Linked DNA regions of Danio rerio. The protein of the gene in region 6 interacts with the protein of the main gene of each other region in a pairwise test. Links are inferred from orthologs where the notes say so. Each region holds a gene or a part of one and is shown on either strand. Other genes may lie near its edges.

Region 1 (3,500 bases), on a different chromosome or scaffold from region 6:
GACTGGCAGGCTCTTTGCAGATTATTCCACATGGCAAGGCTGCTCTTAGCACACAACAGCAGACTAAATATATACCCTTCAATGCCCATCTTTGAAATAAACTCTAATACACCAATTCACAAGATATGCAATGTGCTGCTAATGCTTGCTTGCCCTTTTTTTTAGAAGTTTTGTTTTATGTTATGGCCTTTAAAGTTACAGTATGTAATATTAAAACATTAATCATGTTGGTTACATGGATAATTTAAAGAGCTAGAAACCTAAAAGTTGTTTGTTCGATCCCTGCAAAGAGCGCTATCATTATTGTGCAATTTGTTTTTCAACTTGTGTGAAGTTAAGTTTGCATTGTAGATGAACTGCCACAGACTAAACGGCAAAAACATTACATTTTAAACATTTAATTTCGAACCTTCCGGTGGAGAGAGTGTTTGCTGGTGCTTGCTGGTGTTGAGGTTATGCTACAAAAAAAATATTAAAAACGAAAGAACGATAAAACACCAAAAAAGATTACCACACAGATGGAGGAGGTTGATGATATCAAGCGATCGCTGGATATGTTGACAGAAGAAGTCTCTGTTGTTAGACAACAGCAGAAGACGATCATGGGCCTGGTGGAGGAAGTGAAAGCCTTGAAACTACAAAACATTGTAAAAGAAAAGAAAATACATACATTTTTGTATGTAATGACTCAGGTAATGAAATGAGAACTATTAGTTTTATGAATATTCAGTATTCACAAGTTAAGTTAATCTTGACTGACATGACATTAACAAATAATAATGTTATAAAAGAGCAGAGAGTTATATGAAAGCAATTGATGCATGTCCAAAGGCATTTGCAATCTGTTGGAAAGAATGATAGACTGCTACTATGATGTGCACAAATGACAATTTGTTTTGAGAAATGCATTAACTGTTGTGCAAATGTAAATAGTGTTGTGAGAAATGTATCAAAGCAACTGAGAAAAACTGTAATATGGAAAACAAACTGTGGCTGGCTTTGTTGCGTCTCCTGTTTTCAAAAGAAGAGTCCTACATTAAGTACATAGTAAATGTGATATAAACTTTAATGCAGTTAAAAATAAGGGAGGGCTTTATTAAAAGGCTTCCTTCTAGTGGAATTTCTGAATAACTAAAGTAAAAAAATGAACATACTTTAACCCTTTAATGCGTACGATAACACCAATGTGATCAGTAAATTTTTTTTAAAAGGCTGAACCTTTCATTTTATTTTCAATTTTCTAATGTTAGTTATGTAATCTCCTCCACATATTTGTAACGGTTGTTGGGGGCGTATTTCGTATTTTTATATCCCAATGTTGACAGGTATGGTTTAATCACTTGCTTTTATGACACACAAAGCCTACTCTAACGCACAGTAAGCAGATTTAATTTCTAATTTAAATATGTAAATCCAATTCCTTTATTTAAAATATAAGTTAATGTTTAAATTTCAAAGATATACAAATAATTTATATATACATTCAACATATATTTCAAAATGTATCAAAAAGAGTTCATATATGAATATTATGACATATAGCTTATATTTATGAGGTCCAAGGAACATTACCAGGTTTTGATGGATAGGCTACTTTTTGTTAATGCTTTTAAGTACAGCTGTTTACTTTTTAAGAACAGTGCCACATATTGATTTAAACTGTGACTCTTTATTTCTTTTTAATTGTAAGCACAGTACAATCTTAATGTTCAAACTATTTATAATGTTTAAAGTGGCTGACAATAATAAATATTCATAATAAGAAGACTTAATCTGCCACGCTTTTGCACTGTGCAGTGATGTAGCTGCTTAATAAAGCCTACTGCGCTACTGTATTTTAATACTGGTCATTATGGTGGTGCTTGGAGAGACACATTTTTCCTGAGGTGGTATTTGGTGAAAAAAGTTTGAGAACCACTGAGCTAACCCAATGTAATTGTATGTTGTTTGGCTGATTACAATCCACATGAAACACCGACAACTTCATTTTTGAAAAATACATGTAAACAGTTTATGCACACTTGATCAACATTTTGCCCTCCATCCTGTAGTTGCTAAAATTGTTGAATGCTACACAAAAAAAAAAAAGTTTTGACCATCTTGTCACTGTAAAGCATTGCAAATTAAGAATATTACATTAGGTGAAAATACACTTCTCTATGGCTAGTTCCTAGAACAGAGTTCTGTAACTACCTGTTGAAAAAAGCCCATCGAGATACAAAGATTTTTTTTTTTTGAAAAGCAACCTGTGGCTATACTCTGAGTACAATGAGAAATTTAAGCTGTGACATCAACATGTTCATGTGTTTTAAAATGATGAAGCTAGTGTAATTATGACCAACAGAATAATCTATTTTACAGGATAAATGACATCCATGCCAATTACAAAATCTTTATTCCTTGTCCACTGTTTTTCTCTCTACAGAGTGTGTGTCCTGGTCGGGTGTTCACCATGGCTCTAGTTCAGGCACTGCCTGTACCCACTGATCACCCAAAGCCCAGTACTGACGTCCAGCAGTGCTGCTCAGTGTCTCACTCCCCCACAGTAGATGTCACTGGCACCATGGGTTCTGTCAGCAGCCTCATCTCTGGACGTACCTACCAGGAACGCCACTGTCGAGCCGCCAGTGACTTTGGTGCCAGATATCGCAAACCCACACCAGCTACAAGCTGTTTTCGACAACAAGAGGGCACACTGCGCAGCTCCAGCTCACAGGAGCAGCTTCTGAACAGTCAGCCTCCTCTACCCGCTAAGAACAAGTCTTCTGCCCTCATCTCGGCTGGCAATGGCAACTATGGCTATTTGAGTGATGAGCCAGTGGGTGATTGGAATGATAATCACGTGAGCACATGCAGCCCATCCAGTGACACTGAAGAACCTTCTGATAACAGAGGCATGAATGGTAACATCGGTGGACCTCCGCCAAAACTCGTCCCAGTGTCAGGCAGGTTGGAAAAGGTAAGTCTTGGAGTTGATCAGTTGACATTTGAAAACAAAAATAATACAATAAATTGTAAATTAGTGACAATGTATTTAAAAAAAAATTAAGATATAAAGTGAACCAAAATGCAGTAACCAAGAATACAATCAGGCAGGGTTTGTAAAGTTATTTCTAGAAGTATACATGATTTTTTAATTGATATCATGCAGATATTTTTCAAAAGAGACTTACTGTAAAAAACTGTTTTAGTTAATTTAACAGTGTTTAAACCCTGGACATTTCTTAAAGCATTTTCTTTCTAATGTGACCCACTGTTTCGTTGTTGAGGTGTCATTTAATTGTTTTAGTATAAAGAATGGCGGCTGACAATTCACACATCTATTCAGCTTTTCCTTTCCAATGAAGAAGGAGAGCATTTAAATACTGCAAAACGTCAATATGCCATCACTCACCATACACATTTAATCAATGATACCTCATTACACTTACAACACTAAAAGATGGTGTTCTTGGAGGTTTAATGCATTTAATATTTTTAAGATACACATGTGAAATGGC
Region 2 (4,299 bases), on a different chromosome or scaffold from region 6:
CAGCATAAGTGTTTGCCATTGAATCATGTTGGCATCTGTTTCTTAGGGAGTTACATAGGGAGCAAACAAAACTTGCGTGAGGCAATGTGATATACATAGCATGTGCTAACACACATTTAGCTCCCGAAGCAACACCTATGCCACAAACGTGGGCACATGCATGTCACAGGTGTAGTACAGGGTAGCATGTGAATGTGAGACGTAATTGAAGGGGTCGGGTGGAGGCACTCAAAGTCCCCTCCTCAAAATCTGTTCCTCATCCATCACTCCTCCTTCCTCTACTAACCTCAGAGCTGCCATAAAACGATTACCCCAGTCGCCACCCCCATTATAGCTTAGCTACATACTGCCAATGCCTAATATGGGACGAAGTGGCTGAGACGAGGGTGAATGAAAAAATTAGACAGAACGAGTTCCAGTATGTAACCTGCTTGGAAGAGGCAGGCTAGTTTCCGGAAAACTGGCACAAGCACATACTGTATGCAGGCCTATTTAGAGCCATGTGCATATACATACAACCCCTTAATGCATTAACCTGCATTATCACGCTTGCCAAATAATGAACCAACTATAAAAGATGATCCTACGGTATTAATTTATGCACGTCAATAGGACAAGACACTAAACCAGCGTAAAAAGAGCTGTAAATCTACATGTCCAAAAATGGAGCTCCCTTTACAAGCTTTTAAAAATGAAGATTTAACGCCTGCTAATTTACAAGTCAGCAAAACAGACTAAAAGCAGCTGGGCAGGCTTTTAATATAAACTGTCCCATGTTGAAACTGTTCCAACATACTAGATTGTGAATTTACATATTAGTGTCTGCTGGCCAGTTCTGTGCAGGAGAGGCGTTAGGGTGGCCTTACGTTAGGGTGGTATTTCTGGATATGTAACACTACAGGCATGCAGGACCCAAGAGGATGAGTGGCAGATAAGTAGTGTATGACGAAGACCCCCGGCCACGTGGAGGTCTCCATGTGCATCTTCATTCATAGCATTTGAGGGAACCTTGAAGAAGCTTGAATTGAAATAAACTGCATGACTAAAAATTATTTTACAAGTTCTGACTTATGGAAAAAAACATCAATATTGGGGCAGACTTTACACTATGTATACACTGTATACTTGCTGTATACTTGCTCCAACTCATAGTTTGGTTACAAGACCCAAGACTTTAGAACCAATGTTGTATCTATTAAGGCAGTGGTTCTCAAACTGTGGTACGTGTACCACTAGTGGTACGCGGGCTTCCTTCTAGTGGTACACGGAGGAATGACATATATCATGTACATGCTACATATATTTCAACATTTATAAAAAATTATGTGTATAATATGCCATATATGACATATAGCCTTTATTTCTGAGGTAATATGCCATGTTTTTTTTAAACTGTGCAGAGTTGTAGCTGCTTTACTGGGCATACTACGCTACTGTATTTCAATATTGCTTATTTTGGTGGTACTTGGAGAAAGAATTTTTTTCTGAGGGTGGTACTTGATGAAAAAAGTTTGAGAACCACTGTATTAAGGACATTTCAAATCTCAGACCAAACTATTTTTATTAAGTGGTAAATAGTCAATGTAAACTCAAATTTAAGGAAAAGCCTGCAACAATTAAATGCTACATTTAAAAACCTGAAAAGAAGAAAGAGTATTCAAATAAAATAGGTGCTACTAGGACTAAAAAAGACCTAAAAAAACGTAAAGACAGCAAATGATGAGACCAGAAAAGAAGAGAGTTGGTCAGTTTTGGTAGGGGGTTGTAGAGTGTTGGGTGTCAGCAAAGAGATCACCTGTTCCTCTTCCACCTGCTTTGGCCCCTCAGACTTCTACAGCTTGAAACAGCCGACACAATCACAGTACTATCCTTAAATCACAACCTATGACATAACATGACCATCCATACTCTAGTCATTGATATAGAGACCTTTTTTAAATGTAATACAGCATGTTCTTCACGAAAGCAAGATAAGTGGTTTCCCACTGTTTAACTTGAACTCAAACTGACCAAACAAAGAGAATATCACTGTGAATTCACAACCAATATGAAAATTAAACGACCCAACCTGACACTTTAATAAGCTAGTCCAGCCACAGAGTATCTATCTTAAACAGTTAAAACCAAAAATAAAAAGTGATCATCATTTAGGAAGAATGACAACATCAGACAACATTTGCTTAGACTGCCTGGAAATAATTAAAACACTGTCGGTCCACACTTTGACTGCCTTTCCTTTTTGTGGAACAAAGAATAAAGAAAGGGTTGTGAACAAGATGAGGATGATACATGATGGCAGAAATATCATTTTTGGCCTTAACTTCCCCTTCAAGCACTGATGAAATGTCCCATCATGTCTCTCAAAACCAAGTAACCTGCTCATCCTCTCATAAAATCTCCCAAAAATGCTTTCTATGTAGGGCACCTCGGTTGATTTTGAGATATAGCCACTGGCTTCTTGTCTTGTTAGCTAACCTGCTAAAATGACTCGGTGATTCCCCTGTTTATAGCTGAGAAATGAGAAAACAACACTGTACACACACAACCAGGCCGATGATCATTAGGTCTCGGGCCTCTTTGAAAGTGATACACATGACTGCATCACATCTCGGCTGTCCCGACCCGCTCGCTGATGCGTACACTGGAGCTTTATGGTTTAAAATGGGTTCATTTTAAATGAAGTTACCTTGTAGAAGGCCCCGTTGGAGCCGCGCACCTCCACCGCCAACCCGTCCATGTTCGTCGTCGCTTCCCCACGGCTGTGCCTCTCTTTAGGCGCTACGATAGCGTGCGAGTCCGGTACCACCCCCAGCTTCACGGGCCTCTCGCCGTTCTCCGGCCGCTTCTGTGTGTCCAGTGTTTCGGGTGAGAGAGGGGGCAAAGGTGACGGGGGAACACAGGAGCCACAGGGAGGGGGTTCAGCTCCGACACCCCTTACAGCAAGGCAAGCCAACTCGAAAACGGCTGCCTACAGCGCGAGGGAAGCTCGCGGGAGTGCCGTTAGTGGCCGGTCTGAAGCTGGACTGATGCTGTCTGATGACGGTGGATGTAAACGAGGTGTTAGCACAACAGCTAGCGCAGCCGCTAATCAACGGGCACCGACACCTTCTGGCACTTGATCTCGCGGCTCCTGCATATGTCGGGATGATTCTCGTAAAAATCCTCTATGTTATATCTGAAAACGCTGTTGATTAGGACGTCTGTTCTTTGATAAGACTGTGATGCTGTGCTACTTCACCCTTCCCCTCCAACACACGCCGTCAGAGTGGAGCAGCAAGACTGTGAATGACCCCGAAATCCCCACCCCTCTCCACTATACGCCCCGCCCAGCGCAGAGTTTGAGGCTTTGATTGGTCTACCACACTGCCACTTACTAACAGCTGGAAGATCTGATTGGTGGAGCTGTCGGGGGCTGGTCGATGCGGACTCGGTGCTCGCGGCTCCTGGTTCGCCGGGTTTGTCCTATTAGCGCCAGTTGTGTAGTTGCTATATTTGGGTGGCTCTGGTTGGTTTTTGACGACAGACCCACTCCTGATTCACAAAAAACTCCGAAATGTACGTTTCATGAAACGACCAGACTTTATAAAAAGCTCGTTATTTAGGAATACTGATAAATAAATATAATGTGTGTCAAACGCGAGATGCAATTTCTATTTTGAGCAGATGCTTTCATAACACACCGTGCAACCGCATGAAAAACAATCATGAAATGTATCAAATCTAAAACACTGGTCTCACTCTGAATAATTTGATGCATTAGGCACAACTGATTGATTTTGTATGTAAAAATCCGTAAAATCAAAGAATTGACATGAAATGTGTAATCAAGCCCCGTGACAGGTCCACTAATTTATTTTTCAGCAATACTTTATTGTTGTGGATGTTGGATCATGAAATCTCACAGCTTCAAGTTTATTGTTGAACTGGGTTGGGTTATACTGGGAATACAGGCCAGTAGCCTGGTGAAAGGGATGGTTCTTTTTTTTCAAAAAGTGGACCTTTTTGCAGTTATTCACCTCAATTTTCTATTAAATTATTAGATCTAAATACTGTATTTTGAATTAAAACCAAATGGGAGGAAGAGTTGGTTATTGATATTGATGAGGAAACATGGGATGATGGTCTAAAGCTAAGAAAATATCTGTTTGTACACGTACAAGGGAATACAATATAACATAATACACAGTCTCTATATCGCTGCTAACCGCAGACATCTAGTTAACACTTCTAATTCACCTACATGTGTTCAAAATGTAAAACTGATGCAGGTACTTATGCGGTTATCACAATCGGAGGTTC
Region 3 (3,500 bases), on a different chromosome or scaffold from region 6:
TATTTACATTTGCTAAATGCCAGAATAATAAGATAATTTTTTCTTTCTGAGAATTTTCTATTAATTTCTAGACAGTCTAAAGTTTACACACATTTCCTTGGTATTTTTTTTAGCTTTGCTTTTAAACTGTATAACTTTGGTCAAATGTTTTGTCTCCTTCCACAAGCTTCTCACAATAGTTTGCTGGAATTTTGGCCCATTCCTCCTGACAGAATTGGTGTAACCGAGTCAGATTTGTAGGTTGTCTTGCTCGCACAAGCTTTTTCAACTCTGCCCACACATTTTCTATAGGATTGTGATCAGGGCTTTGTGATGGCCACTCCAAAACATTCACTCTGTAGTTCTTAAAGCACATATGAACTAATTTGGCAGTATGCTGAGGGTCATGGTCTGTTGGGAAGACTCATTTGTGGTCAAGTTTTAATGTCCTGGCTGATGTCTTGAGATGTTGCTTCAGTATTTCTCCATAATGTTCTTTCTTCATGATGCCATCTATGCTGTGAAGTGGACCAGTCCCTCCTGCAGCAAAACAGCCCCACAACATGATGCTGCCGCCCCCATACTTCACAGTTGGGATGGTGTTTCTAGGCTTGTTGATTTCCCCTTTGTCCTCCAAATGTAACACTGCTCATTATGCCCAAACAGTTCAATCTTAGCTCCATCAGAGCACAGGACATGTCTCCAAACATGAGTCTATTCCCAGTGTAATTCAGCAAATTGTAATCCGGCTTTTGTGTTGATTCTGGCTTGTTGATTCTCCATGTTGTCACACAAGGAAGCAGTGTGTTTGAGCTTTTCCTTCAATACTATTCTACAGCTGTGCCTCACATGAACTCAAATGTTGTCAATTAGCAAATCAGAAACGTCCAAAACCCTGACATCATCATCTGAGCTTTTCCAGAGGCAGAATAATCTGATTGCTATAAACTTGACTTTCAACAAGAGTTATAACAATTTCTCAAACAATCTCTCTCTCATTATTCTGCTATTAAGCAGAACAGACACAAATGTGATCATCCTTACTTACCTAAAAGAGAAAAACTCTAGTCACATTAAACATCTGACTTTTTTAAATGGTTATGTGCCTTTTTATCCAGTGTATGTAAACCTTTGCGTACAACTGTATAACTAATGGGAAAAACATCCAAAGATCGGTTCTTGCACAGTGGATAAAGGAAATGGCTGATAATCTCACTCTTGAAAAATGAACATGTGTAATCAGAGAAAAAATAAGTGTGGTCCTTTTTGGTCACTTCATAAAAGGATAAATAAAAACTGGATGTCTTTGGAAAGATGTTTGCAATTTAAAATTCAATGCAATAATGTGTTTTTTATTATTATTATTGTTACCAATTATTTAATTAAGTTATTATACACACACATGCACACACGCACATTAGTCAATTTATTTTTGTATATAATATTGTATTTTAGAAAATATTTGTCGTTCTATAACTTATTTTAAATGGTATTTCTGTTTAATAAATGTTGGGTTTTAAAGGAAACATTCAGTTGCGCTGGCATCTCTGTGCTGTAGCTGTTAAATCACAAAGGGTTTAGCTTAAGGCACGTGTGTGTTTATGTCTTGCTGAAGTGAAATGAAGTTAAATGAATTAAATGAAGAGAAACAGCGCCATCTGCAGACACACACACGCACACACGCACACACACACACACACACACACACACACACACACACACACACACACACACACACACACACACACACACACACACACACACACACACACACACACACACACACACACACACACACTTCTGTGGTTTCCGCACTCACCATGTTCTGGTTGTGAAACAGGGCTTTGGGTGCCGTCTGGATTTTATTGAGCTTGATGTAGGAGGACCAGCTGAACTCTTCATCCTTCATCCCTACACACACATTCATTTACACACAAATTAGTACACTATATATTCACACACATTCATACACACAATCTAATATATACACACACACATTCATATGCACACAAATAATATATATACACACACACACATTCATATGCACACAAATTATTATGCTATATACACACACATTCATATGCACACAAATTAATACACTATATATACACACACACACACACACACACACACATTCATTTACACACTTAATCTAATATATACACAAACAATCATATGCGCACAAATATATACACACACACACATTCATATGCACAAAAATAATATATACACACACATATTCATATGCACACAAATATATACACACACACACATTCATATGCACTCACATTAATATATACACACACACATTCATATGGACACAAATTAATACACTACATATACACACATTCATTTACACACACAATCTAATATATACACAAACACATTCATATGCACACAAATTAATATATACACACACACACACATTCATATGCACACAAATTAATATATACACACACACACACATTCATATACAAACAAATTAATACAGTATATATACACACACATGCACACATTCATACACACACAATCTATTATATACACACACATTTATATGCACACAAATTAATATACAGTACACACACACATTCATACACACACAAATTAATATATACACACACATTCATATACCCACAAATTAATATAGTATATAGACACACAGGCACACATTCACACACACAAACTAATATATACACACACACATTCATATACGCACAAATACATTTATAGACACACATTCATATACACACAAATTGATATATATACACACATTCATATGCACACAAATTAATATACACACAATTGTACATACAAATTATATATATACACACACATTCATATACAGACAAATTAATATATATACATGCATTCTTACACACAAATTGATACACACACACACACACACATATTCATATCCACATATTATTATATACACAAATTCATACACACACACACACACATACACACACACACAGACACACATACACACACACACACACACACACATTCATTTAGATAATTAATTCATGCATGCACACACATTCATGTACACACAAATTCACACACAAACACACACACACACACACACACACATTCATAAACACACACATTGATATTTACATACACACACATAAACACACATCACATATTCACCCGCACACCTTTCGGTGGGTGTAACTTGTGTCCGGTTTTCTCACACCAGCCCACAGGGTGAATGTCGGGAGAGTTGGAGTTTACCCAGAAGTCATAGCAGTCAGAAAAGTGATCAAAGTGGAGTCTGATTCGATGCCCTGACACCTGAACACACACACACGCGTACACACACACACACACACACACACACACACACACACACACACACACACACACACACACAGGAGAAACGAAGAGAGAATTATTAGCCGCCCTTTATATTTTTTAGGATACTAGTATTCAGCTTTAACTGACATTTAAAGGCTTAACTTGATTAACTAGGCAGGTTAGGGTAATTAGGCAAATCATTGTATAACAGTGGATTGTTC
Region 4 (4,140 bases), on a different chromosome or scaffold from region 6:
TTGCGTCATGCTTACGCCCCATTCACACGGGGCTTCAGCGTCAAAGCTTGACTGAAGGCGTGTCTGACGTTGGGGCTGAAGCGATCGTCATAGAAGCATCAGCCAATGAAATTCAGTCAGCAATAGGCCACTGTCCAGCTGGTGTATTTGCATACAGTGATCTGATTGGCTGACGCTTCCGTCGGCACTTGAAAAGTTGAGCTAGTCCCAACTTCTGCAGCGAGCATCGCCTCTGAAGCGGTGCCGACGGGTCCACAATGTAGTTCGGCAATGCCTGACATCACCCATTCAAAGTGAATGAGAAGCGTTGACGCTGACGTCCCGTGTGAATGGGGCGTTATTATTTAAAGATGACTTGATATCATTTGTGTTATTATTTAAAACTATTTAATTAAAGTTTTTATTCTCTAAATTTATGCAAATATACCAGCAATTCTAGAATCACCCATAAATGAATGATAATCACAGTGTTTAGACTAATTTCTGAGAGTAGACTCTTACCATATGGTGTTCCCGGTCCAAACTCCTTCGCAGCCTCCAGCATGAACTGGGATAAAATCTCTCCATTGGTGGCCCGTGGTGGAATCTTCCGGTCAAGCTTCTCATACAGGAACTCTTCAATGCGAGCACCTGGTACACAGACAGACATACAACATTAAAAAAAAAAACACAGACAACATCAAATGGCAAAAAAACACAAGCAGCTATAGTAGGAAACTTAAAAAAATAAGACAACAGAGCGAGAAAACAATGATTTGAAATTGATGACTTTACAAAAAAAAACAAAAAACAAATGCACACTTAAGTTTTTACAGTCACTAATGAACGGTTATTTGGTTTCAATGTTTCAAAGGGGGGAAATAATAGCATAAAAAATAATACGTAAAAGCTTTTAAAAAAAGTATTTTAATTATTTATTTAATTTTATGTTACTGAAAGATGAATCAATATCTATGTATCTGCTAGTTAAGTGTGACTTCAAGCAAAGCAGCTTCTGGGTCCAAGCGCTCTATCAAACTGTATAGTAGGACTCAACAAATGGTAATAATAAATGTTTTTAAAGCAATGCAATACTTTCAAAAATCCCAATCACAATATATATATATATATATATATATATATATATATATATATATATATATATATATATATATATATATAAATAAATATATAAATATATATATATATATATATATATATATATAAATATATATATATATATATATATATATATATATATATAAATATATATAAATATATATATATAAATATATAAATATATATATAAATATATAAATATATATATATATATATATATATATATATATATATATATATATATATATATATACATATGCTAGGGTTGGGCGATGTCGACCAATTTGGCATCGTACGATGTCTAATATAAACATTGTGATGGACGATGGCATCATCGTCATAGACAATAATTATGAATAATTAATTCATAACGAATTTATTATTTGTAGCCTACCGTTTTAACTACCTGACCCGCATGGTCTTTGTTTTACCGATAAACAAATCATAAATGAATAAAGATAAGTTACACACATAATTACCACCTGTCAATCACATTTTCCGCAGGACTCATGAATAGGCAAGAATAGTCAGAGTGATCTGTGTCGTTATGATGGCGTCGACAAACTTGGTTGGTAAAAAGGGTGCACAACCAAAAGGAACCAACCAATAGTATCTGAGGTGTTCGCTAAAATTACTAAGTACAAGCGTGAAAGCAAAAGATTGAACCAGTCTACTGACCCACTGACTGCCTGGACCCGCTGTCTTGAGCGCATGACTGTGTGTGCGTGTGTGTGTGAATGAGTGTGTGTGGTCACTTGATGTGCGTTTTGCAGTGGACATGCTGTAAAATAAAAAATTAAAACAAAATGTAAAAACTCTAAATTGTAGATTTTTTTTTTACCCAAATGATGTAGGAAATTATTTGGGTAAAAAATATAAATAGTTGGGTCTCAGGAGGGTATAATTGTTTAAAAACACTGACAGAGACATTTGCAGTGTTTTACAGTACAAGCCTAAACAAACAACGTAGAAAGGGTCTCACTATTTTGGGAAAAACGTTATTTTTGTCATGAGAAGCCTGACATTTGCATAGAATTGGAAGAAGCTGATACCGTAATAATAGGCATGCATGTGTACATTATATATCTTTGAGTCTAACCCGGGTTTGGCTGGAGCAGAACTTCAGTCTGCCTGTAGATTTTCTCTGTCCAGTTTTTGGTGCAATCCGCTCTGGCCAACAGATTCTCGAAGTGAGTGTCCAGTTCAGTCTTCTCAGCCTGTCCCAGTTTCTCCTCTGTAAACTGTCCCAATAAAAAAACTCCATTAATATAATATTCCTGAGAGGAAACACATCAGAATAACAAACCAAACAGCCTAAGATATTCAAACATGGCTAGTTGTCGACTAATATCCTAATTTATTTATATTTACCCTACATTGACAGCGTGTACTATGTCAGAAACAACATTTAATTGAGGTGAAAGTGAAAATGTGTGATTGTATCAGTGAAACTCGGTGTTTTGTGTAAACGCAACGGGCACGCGCGTCACATTAACTGTCACTCTCACTGTCGCCTTTACACTTATTTACATACCGAAAAACGGCATCTCTTACCTGGACAGCGCGGGAAAAGAATATCCCAGCATCCGAGGCGAGTTTCCTCACGTTGAAATCCATGTTGTGAGCGGAGAGAGAGGAGAAATCCCCGCGGCATCTGGCACTCCGCAGAGGCCAGTGAGTTTCTGACTGTCCGCCTGATTCTGTGGAAAAAACCGTTCTCTCCTCAAGATGGCGCCGCGCGGCTCATGGACCCTTTTCACATTTCCGGGTTTCTCAGTAACGGAAGTCGTCATAGTTGGATAAACTTTTTTTTTCTCTCAGACGGTGTACAACAGTCAATGGTGTACATTAGCTATGTATTTTTTGATGTATCTTGAGTTAATAAAGGTAACTCAGAGCCAAACGTTCATGCTTGTCAATTATTGGGACTCTGGAAATTAGGGTAAATGCTGAATCATGCTAATATAACTTTTAATTTGCCAGTCACCTGGGTTAAGCACTTCCGGCAAACTGTATTCAATGCAAAAACCGGCGCGGTAAAGGTCTGTTTTCTTTAAAAATCAGCGATCTCCACTAGCTGAGTGATATCCGATATAAAGTGGGTCTCAGATTGTACAAGAAGCACTGCATTAAATTACATTTCCCCCGCCATATCTTTATAATATGAGCATTTATTTTACCCCAGTATATTCAATGTAGCTTCTGCGCTAGCCTGCAGATTCTGACGGGCGCGTGCGAGTAAACGGCTTTTTGTCTGGTTTTACGCTTGAGCAACTAAATGAATGGCAAAGTTTATTTAACTGAATGTATTTTAATGACATTACAACATCGATGCTGTATAAGGAACCGTATAAAATGGAGAAAAGTCCACAATAACAGGTCACCGGAAGTGTATCAGTATGGGAACAGCACTAGCTCGACATATTGACCTTATTCTAAAATGTGGAAGTGCGCCTGTTTTCGCGATTGTCTTAGAACTTCCGATTCAGTCGCCTATGGGAGAAATGACTAGGAATAATAAACGGCAGAAAATGGCCAAACTACTTGCTCAACAAACAAATGTTTGCATGACTACACAGACCAAGTAGCATAATATAATAAGAAAATTTTAAATTGCAACATCAAGCAGCGTAACGAGCAGTTGTTAACGTCAAAAAATGAATGGAAGTGAATGTGACCGGAAGTCGCGAGACAAAAATATTCAAATGGCAGCGCCCGCTCGACAGCTGAGAATAAGGTGAATACCCTATACACAGCAAACTGGTAACACACCTGCTGGTCTTCTTCTCAGCCCCTTTTTATACTGCACGCACCATCAAGTGACACATCGCCCCCTACTGGACAACATTATTATGCCATACTACACTCCTTCCCACATAAATCCAAAGACAGTCCCCCCACATTTCACAATTAACACCAATATAGATAAAGTACAACAGATTATTATTTTTTTTTTCTTCACATCACAAAGTCTTTTAAGTGTTTTGGGGGTTTACGCTCCCTCCTTGAGCGTCGTAGCCCTTCGGTAGACACAGTTTCAGA
Region 5 (3,500 bases), on a different chromosome or scaffold from region 6:
AAAATTTCACGGTATTGTGATTACTGCTCTAAAATAATTTCTTTTTAAATGTCTGGGTAAAAAAATGACAACCTTTTTCCCCATTGAACACTATATTTTACTTTATTTGCAACATTTGTAATATTTTGTGTTTATTAGTTTCAAAAACAAAGATTTCTTTACAAACATAAAAAACACATTAAGATTAAAATCTTACATACACCTTAGGAATGGTATAACAGAACATTTTTGTGGTTCTAAAACCTTGATTTATTTATTTATTTTTTCTGAACCGTGGTAAACTTTGAAACTGGTTATCCTCCCATCCCTATCACACAATCCATGTCAATGGACCCTTCACTAAGCCCCGCCCTCCTTAGTTACTGTTGCTACGCCTGTCAAGCTTTCGTGCCTGGCACAGCTTTTTCAATGTGTGTGCGCCAGTGTCAAACATTGCCAGGGATTTAATGTCATTTTTGGCGAACAAGTGAGATATCCGAGAGAGCCAGACAAAAAAGGACTGCCGTATGCAATACAGGGTTATATTCACGGCATAATAGGCAACCAATTAGAGAATAATTCAATCAAAATTGAAGGTAGCTTAGCCTAGCCGCCTCAGGAGAGGTGAAATTTTAAAATAATCTAATAATAACAACTAAAAACCGTGATTTCTCTATTTTTTAGCCAAAAACCCTGATAGATTAATTGTTGTGCAATGAAATATAGCGTTACTAACTGGCGAGGAAACACGCACGACAGTGCTTTTACATAGTTCATTCATAGAAAGAACAACCAGAAAGGGGAAACTGATGGATTTGTTCCAAATGGTAGAATAATTGCTGGTAAAGTATATTGATTGCAAGTGCTCAGTTTGTGATAATATCTCTGTTTGTTTTGTTGATTTAGCTTGAAATAAGATGGAAATATGAAGTTCAGTAAACAGATTTTGCAGATTAGTATTTTCCGGATCAATAACTCGTGTCATTATGACCTATTCACTATTAGTATGATTAAGTTACTAACATTATAGCGAAGGCTTAAACGGAGCATTACTCAAAATATTGAGCAAAAAAAAAAAAAAGGAATAAGACAGCTGTGAAACATAACCTGCTTTGTATTTTAGTACAGTTTAGATCTGTGTAGGGTTAAAGGTGTGTGAGTTTTTGCCGTCCATCTATGACTGAATGTGTCAGGAGTATCAAAACAAAAGCGACTTAGCTCCGCTCCTTTAGCGTCCCTCACACAGCTTGATCTACGCTGGCATTTCTCCCCTTGGGTTTTAGGTTTTGAAAAGGGAAAAATTTCCACCATCCCGTCCAAACTTTTAAGGATACCGGGTATCAGATTTGCACAATCCATATATACTCGCTCGAAAGCTTGACAGAGCCCCTGCAAGTAGCTACAGTTGCTAAGCCACGATTGGTGGGTGGCGGTTGTTGGGTGTGGCTTAGCGAAGGGTCAATTGTCTACTTTTTTATTTGTTTGCTGCAATTATTTTATCCAACACTCAAATTTAATCAGCAAATTTAATTTTGTTGCCACAGCATGAATCAGAAATACTTCCATTTCCAAACTCTGAAAAGAGCTTTGTGCTTCCAGAAGAGATCATACAGGACGTCAAGGAAGGTGGGCTCCTCTTAGTTTTCAGTGTTTTAACTCCCAGCTGACATATTTGTTTTTAGTGATCATTCAAATCTTGTTGTAGGTAAAGTGGGATCTGAAGATGACGTGAAAGAGGAGTTCAAAGAAGAGAGCGACCCTCCTGCAACCCATGAAGAAGGTTCTCTCCTTCACTCTCTTTATTCTCTCATCTAGTCACCCTTTTCTTTTTGCTTGCCCCCTTTCTCTCTCTCTCTCTTTTTTTTTTTTTAAGTAAACCGTCTATTAAAATCTGCGTCATTGCATCACTACTACTACTTTTTTTTTCTGGATCGTTCTCTCGTTGGCGTGAAGCTCAGTGAAGCTCACACTGGTCATTTCTGTCTCATTTTCAAAGGTCTGGGTCCCAGTATGGCTGGCCAGGATTTTGCGAGGTATGGACAGAAGAAAACGTTTTGCTCTGTTCCAAAACTCCAGCTTGAGCTCAGTACAGGCCAGCTCATTACCAGAGGCCTCTGTAGACAGCCTTCAGAGACCTCTGACCATGTGCGTCTTTCTCTCCGTCTTTCTCTCGCTGTCCTCCTTTCTCTTTCTCTTTTGTCTTTTTTTTATGTGCACCCTAGTCTGTTATTCTCTGTATGTGTGGTGGGAAGCATGTTGGCATGTTTTGACGGGTTTGTTAAGCAACAGCTTTATATGATAATGGTGTTTCAAAATGGTTCAACAGTTTTTCAAAAATGTAGCAAGGTTGAGGGAAATAGCACACATGGCTTTGACCTTTAGTTTGAAACTTTAGAGTAGAACGTGATTATTCATTTTGTTGACATAATTTTAGGCATCAAATTAGTGGTGCTCATTTCAGTTAATTTTGCTAACCGACAACCACCGCACATTAATAGGATATTAACGGTTAACTGGTCAGATAAATATTACATTGTTATTAAATAGAAAAAAAATTACATGTCTATTTTGTGTCTGACACATTAAATATTGCATTTTAAAATACTAATTTATTTTAACATGGTAGCATATTAATAACAAAACATAACAACAGAGCATCTTCACGCACCTGCAGTGTTTCCAACACCATAGAAAAACAAAATAAACTGAATAAAATGTATAAAATAAATAGGCATGCCCTAAATAATTTTTTACTTAATTTATTAATTTAGATTACAAAATGAAAACATTGACTGAATCCTTTTTAAAAACAGGCATAGGCTTTTTTTTCCAATCATATGTTTTTGTCTTCCAACAAATAAAAATAGCAGTCTTTCTCAAATTGCTCGCTCCACAAAAAATACGCATTTATATAATGCCCCGCCATTTTTATATCACAAAACCTTTTTACATTTTAAATAGAATTCATTATTTTAAAGATTATGTATTTTATATAGTCTATATTTTCCCTTTTCACTCGCGGTTCAAGTGCGTGCGCTGCATGATGAAAAGACAATGTCAACGCGCACATATGTTGACTTTTTGTAAACCGTTTTGTTGTTTAAATATGATATTGCATTGATTTGCATACATGCTTTATAAGCTGTAAAATGAAAGCTAAAGCCAATTTGTTTTGTTATGATGCAAATCCAGGAGGCTATCAGCATCAGCGCTGGATTGACATCAATTCGTCGGTATCAAACAGCAATATTCTTCTTCCATTTAGCTTCTTTGGCAAATATGTCTGTAGGCACGTGTCGTCATACGTTATTGTCCCGCGAGTAACAAATAATGTGTTGCAGTTGCACATTAAAGGGCCATGAAGCCCCCTCGTTTCAGCAGGGTGTTTTCACACCTCTACTTTGGAAAAAGTCAGAAAAGTGGCCGTGTCCAGCTTTGTTTAGGGGGGAGTGTCGGAGGAGTGTCTGTTTGGGTGGGGTGACTTTCAGAGTCAAAACACACACACACACACCCACCCACAC
Region 6 (4,105 bases):
AAGCATAATAGTTTAATAACTTATTTCTAATAACTGATTTATTTTATCTTTGCCATGGTGACAAATAATATTTAACTAGATAATTTTCAAGAGACTTCTATACAGCTTAGCTCATTTAAAGGCTTAACTAGGTTTACTATACATGTTAGGGTAATTAGGCAAGTTGTTGTATATCGATGGTTTGTTCTGTACACAGTCTGAAAAATTTTGCTTAAAGGAGCTAATATAGGTTTGACCCTAAAATGATACATAATAAATTTTAAACTGCTTTTATTCTAGCCGAAATAAAACAAATAAGACTTTCTCCAGAAGAAAAAATATAATCAGACATACTGTGCTCTGTTAAACATAATTTAGAAATATTATAAAAAGATAATATCTTTTTATAATAAAAAGATATTACACCGGAGGGGCCGGTGTAATAATTCTGACTTAAAAGTGTGTGTGTGTGTGTGTGTGTGTGTGTGTGTGTGTGTGTGTGTGTGTGTGTGTGTGTGTGTGTGTGTGTGTGTGTGTGTGTGTGTGTGTGTGTGTGTGTAGTGCTGAGCATAATTAAGTACACACATATGTGTATCCAATTGTCAGTGAATATAGGCAATGTATTGTGGTGCATTTAAACGAAACAAATTTATTAAACAAATTTATTTAATGAAATAATATTTTAGTCACCAAACATAAATTTTTTTAAAGATAATACAATTAAATTCAAGCAAAATATGGCCCCAAAAAAACTTACAACCTATAAAAAAAATATTATTTATTTATTTTTCTCTTTTCTTAAATTTGCATTTAATATTTTTTTCTATAACATAAATTTGGCTGTACTTATTTTTGGACTGTTATCGTAAGTTATTTTGTTAGATAGGCTCCAGATTTGCTTCAGTACTGACTAATATAGTATAGATTCCTATTAAAAATATGAATTTAAAAGATAGATTTGTGAGGGGTGTACTTATTTATGCTGAGAACTGTGTGTATGGTATGTATGTATGTATGTATGTATGTATATATATGTATATATATATATATATATATATATATATATATATATATATATATGTATATATATATATATATATATATATATATATATATATATATATATATATATATATATATATATATATATATAAACAAAAGTCGTGTACACCTTGCATAACCTCAATTGTTTTGTTTTTGGTGCAGCTACCCCTTTAAATTTTAACAAGAAATAAAAACATAAATTATAGAAGAGGCGTGGCGTAACGTTGAAATATATCTGCATAAATGCACTTATTTACATGTATTGCCGTGAGTAGAGCACAACTTCTGTCATTCGTCAACAGGGGCTGCTGGATAAACGCTGTTTATTATGAGAGTCACCTGACAAGGGCGCCAGTAAAGTGCGTCATAGGAACGCAGCGCGGCGCCTTCACCCTGCGTGAATTAAATCGGAGCTGGCAATGCCTGGATTTGATTTTCCAGCTATTTTTATTGTTTAATCTGTGAATGGCGCCTAAACAGGACCCTAAACCTAAATTTCAAGAAGGTAAGATGCGCTTTGTTTCATCCACGAGAGTCACCCGTCGATCGGGGATCCTCTCATTCTGCCGTGCAAAGGAAGCGGGCGCTGCCGCTGCACAATGGCGCGCGCGCACGGCGAGCTGTCTGTTACAAAACACTTTTTAGCTGAGAGTTGCCGCCTTTAACTTGTGCAGAGTTGTTCATCACCTGTCAAGCGAGTGCATGATCGCACGTTGGTGCTTTTCGTTGCATCTGACAGCCTCTGCAGACGCACACAGCGGCGTGTTCCTGAAACAAAACATTAGCTGTTGTCTATGATGTAGCCGTTAGCATACAGCAGGCCTTGTTTACAGGAAGCGGCCATTGCAGTATTGAAGTCCTGGCGGGAACAGTCATTTACTTATTTGAAGCGTAAAAACAACGACGTTAGCTCGGAGCTGTTCTAAAACTGAAGTCGATAATGAGCAAAGAAAGGCTATATTATTGCATTAAAATGACCATTAGCAATTTTTGATAACTGAATGAATCGTTCTATAGAATCGAATCTTTAGAACAGTGTTCTATTCTGAATCTGATTCCTGAACTGGGACTCTAATATGAGTTAATATTGTTGGTGATTGTAAGTAAACGCATATGTCAAGTAAACAGTCAGATTTGATGTATTGTTTGACTATATAAGCAGGTTTTAAATGTGCGTATTTCTCGTTTGTTTAAGTATTGTGTATTGAAAATGCTAATTATATTTTGGTTATAATGAGCTTAATTATGATTCAAACAAACAATATGGTAAATATACTGCAGACTGTTATAAATCTACTATACATTTAAAACATTTCTTTGTTGTGGCATTTTCTGAAAGTACAATATTCTGTGCCCACACACATATTTGAATATGTAACACTTCTATTTTATTTATTAGCCCATTAGTGGATGTCATTGTATATTAATATTTCTGATGTTTTTTCAGGTGAACGAGTGCTGTGCTTTCATGGGCCATTGCTATACGAAGCTAAGGTACCTGAATCATTCATGCCATTATGCATGCTTCAAAAGGCTTTTTGATATTTGTTTTCCTGAAAGCAGTACCTGAATGGCATTACATTTATAGTGTAAATGTAGTCATGTGTTTGTAGTGGTTTTGTTTATCATATTAATGCTTTGGTATTGTTTTCTGTGTCAAGTAAAGGGATTTGTTTTTGTATAGTTAGCCCTCTACCCCATGGTGTTGCCATATGGCAACATAATACCGTTAATTTTTGCCAGTGCCACTGTTCTTCTTCTTCTGCCAGTGTTTCTTTAAGACCAACGTTCTGTTTGTTTTTTTTGTTTTTTTGTGGTTATTGGAAAGAGAAGACCTTAGTGTAGCCAATGATGTGCTTCGGTTAAGTCACATGACGTGCAGTGTTTTTCTGTGGCTTGGTTTCTGTTAGACTGGCGTTTATTTTGAATAGTTGCTGAAAGCAAATGAAAAAGTCAATAAAATCAAAGCATCAACCCATGCCAGATCCACAAACAAAATCTGAGACATCACATCCAATAAGTTATGATGACATATTCACAACTCAAAAAGATTTTGATCAAATTAGCATTTTGTAAGTCGATCAAATGTATGTGCTAGCAAATGGAAATGCTGTACAATAGAGGAATGTGCGATATTGCGATAGATTAGCTAGCTAGGTCAGCTCAGCTGTGGTCTTTAAAGTTGTAACAATAACAACATGAATGCTAGTAATATAACGTTGATTAGTTGTATGTTAATGGCATTTGCTTTATGGTTAAATCTAATTTTAATGGCAGTGCATTTGATTAGATATAAATACAAGGAACAGTGTATTAGTGAGGACCACAATGTTCTATAGTTAGTGAAAGAAGAAAAGGACACAACTGGCTCTTCCCACAGATGAACGTGAGGATGAGATGGTGACAATGAGAATAATGCAGATTGGACATTTGATAAGAGCAGTGATGAAGTCAGTTTAAGTTAGCTAGCTCAGAGGTGTATATAAGACAGATGTAGTAAAGTATATAGTTTAATATATAAACATAGTTTGCTGGTAGCAAAAGTTTATTTTGATGCATCTGAATATTTTAGACTTATTTATTTGTTATAATATTTACTAGAGGATATATTTATACTTTCTGTATGTTGTCTACATGATAATACAATATTATGTTAAAAAGAATGGACTAAATAAAAAGTTTTGGAATATCAGTTGAAGTCAGAATTATTAGCCCCCCTGTTTATTTTTTTCCCCAATTTCTGTTTAATGGAGTATGTTTTTTTTAACACACTTCTTAACATAATAGTTTTAATAACTCATTTCTAATAACTGATTTATTTTATCTTTGCCATGATGACAGTAAATAATATTTGACTAGATATTTTTCAAGACACTTCTATACAGCTTAAAGTGGCATTTAAAGGCTTAACTAGGTTAATTAGGTTAACTAGACAGGTTAGGGTAATTAGGCAAGTTATTGTATAATAATGGTCTGTAGACTATTGAAAAAATATAGCTTAAAGGAGCTAATAATTTTGACCTTAAAACTGTTTTAAAAAAATCTAAAACTGCTTTTATTCTAGCCGAAATAAAACAAGTAA

The links.
Region 1: the proteins of morf4l1 (region 6) and lzts2a interact in binary tests that used the Homo sapiens proteins (3 or more experiments, as listed by UniProt). The two-hybrid records come from large-scale screens. The link is inferred for Danio rerio from reciprocal best matches to the Homo sapiens genes MORF4L1 and LZTS2.
Region 2: the proteins of morf4l1 (region 6) and fxr2 interact in binary tests that used the Homo sapiens proteins (3 or more experiments, as listed by UniProt). The two-hybrid records come from large-scale screens. The link is inferred for Danio rerio from reciprocal best matches to the Homo sapiens genes MORF4L1 and FXR2.
Region 3: the proteins of morf4l1 (region 6) and l3mbtl3 interact in binary tests that used the Homo sapiens proteins (3 or more experiments, as listed by UniProt). The two-hybrid records come from large-scale screens. The link is inferred for Danio rerio from reciprocal best matches to the Homo sapiens genes MORF4L1 and L3MBTL3.
Region 4: the proteins of morf4l1 (region 6) and sh3glb2a interact in a two-hybrid assay, tested with the Homo sapiens proteins (2 studies listed by BioGRID and IntAct). The link is inferred for Danio rerio from reciprocal best matches to the Homo sapiens genes MORF4L1 and SH3GLB2.
Region 5: the proteins of morf4l1 (region 6) and mrgbp interact in binary tests that used the Homo sapiens proteins (3 or more experiments, as listed by UniProt). The two-hybrid records come from large-scale screens. The link is inferred for Danio rerio from reciprocal best matches to the Homo sapiens genes MORF4L1 and MRGBP.

Annotation. Positions count from the first base shown.
Region 1 is NC_133188.1:20,766,707-20,770,206, reverse strand, and holds part of lzts2a (leucine zipper putative tumor suppressor 2a), read left to right. Parts: intron 1-2,425; 5' UTR 2,426-2,452; coding exon 2,453-2,962; intron 2,963-3,500. UniProt on the Homo sapiens protein: Negative regulator of katanin-mediated microtubule severing and release from the centrosome. Required for central spindle formation and the completion of cytokinesis.
Region 2 is NC_133182.1:22,701,746-22,706,044, reverse strand, and holds the start of fxr2 (fragile X mental retardation syndrome-related protein 2), read right to left. Parts: upstream 2,801-4,299; 5' UTR 2,738-2,800; coding exon 2,687-2,737; exon of another isoform or gene 1,523-2,686; intron 1,193-1,522; exon of another isoform or gene 1-1,192. UniProt on the Homo sapiens protein: mRNA-binding protein that acts as a regulator of mRNAs translation and/or stability, and which is required for adult hippocampal neurogenesis. Specifically binds to AU-rich elements (AREs) in the 3'-UTR of target mRNAs.
Region 3 is NC_133195.1:2,232,574-2,236,073, reverse strand, and holds part of l3mbtl3 (lethal(3)malignant brain tumor-like protein 3), read right to left. Parts: intron 3,277-3,500; coding exon 3,141-3,276; intron 1,891-3,140; coding exon 1,799-1,890; intron 1,028-1,798; exon of another isoform or gene 152-1,027; intron 1-151. UniProt on the Homo sapiens protein: Is a negative regulator of Notch target genes expression, required for RBPJ-mediated transcriptional repression. It recruits KDM1A to Notch-responsive elements and promotes KDM1A-mediated H3K4me demethylation.
Region 4 is NC_133183.1:3,988,864-3,993,003, reverse strand, and holds the start of sh3glb2a (endophilin-B2a), read right to left. Parts: upstream 2,801-4,140; 5' UTR 2,716-2,800; coding exon 2,653-2,715; intron 2,340-2,652; coding exon 2,198-2,339; intron 631-2,197; coding exon 502-630; intron 1-501.
Region 5 is NC_133198.1:17,436,447-17,439,946, reverse strand, and holds part of mrgbp (MRG/MORF4L-binding protein), read left to right. Parts: intron 1-1,523; coding exon 1,524-1,605; intron 1,606-1,684; coding exon 1,685-1,759; intron 1,760-1,975; coding exon of another isoform or gene 1,976-2,124; intron 2,125-3,500.
Region 6 is NC_133193.1:21,420,883-21,424,987, forward strand, and holds the start of morf4l1 (mortality factor 4-like protein 1), read left to right. Parts: upstream 1-1,305; 5' UTR 1,306-1,488; coding exon 1,489-1,528; intron 1,529-1,601; exon of another isoform or gene 1,602-2,122; intron 2,123-2,470; coding exon 2,471-2,517; intron 2,518-4,105. UniProt on the Homo sapiens protein: Component of the NuA4 histone acetyltransferase (HAT) complex which is involved in transcriptional activation of select genes principally by acetylation of nucleosomal histones H4 and H2A.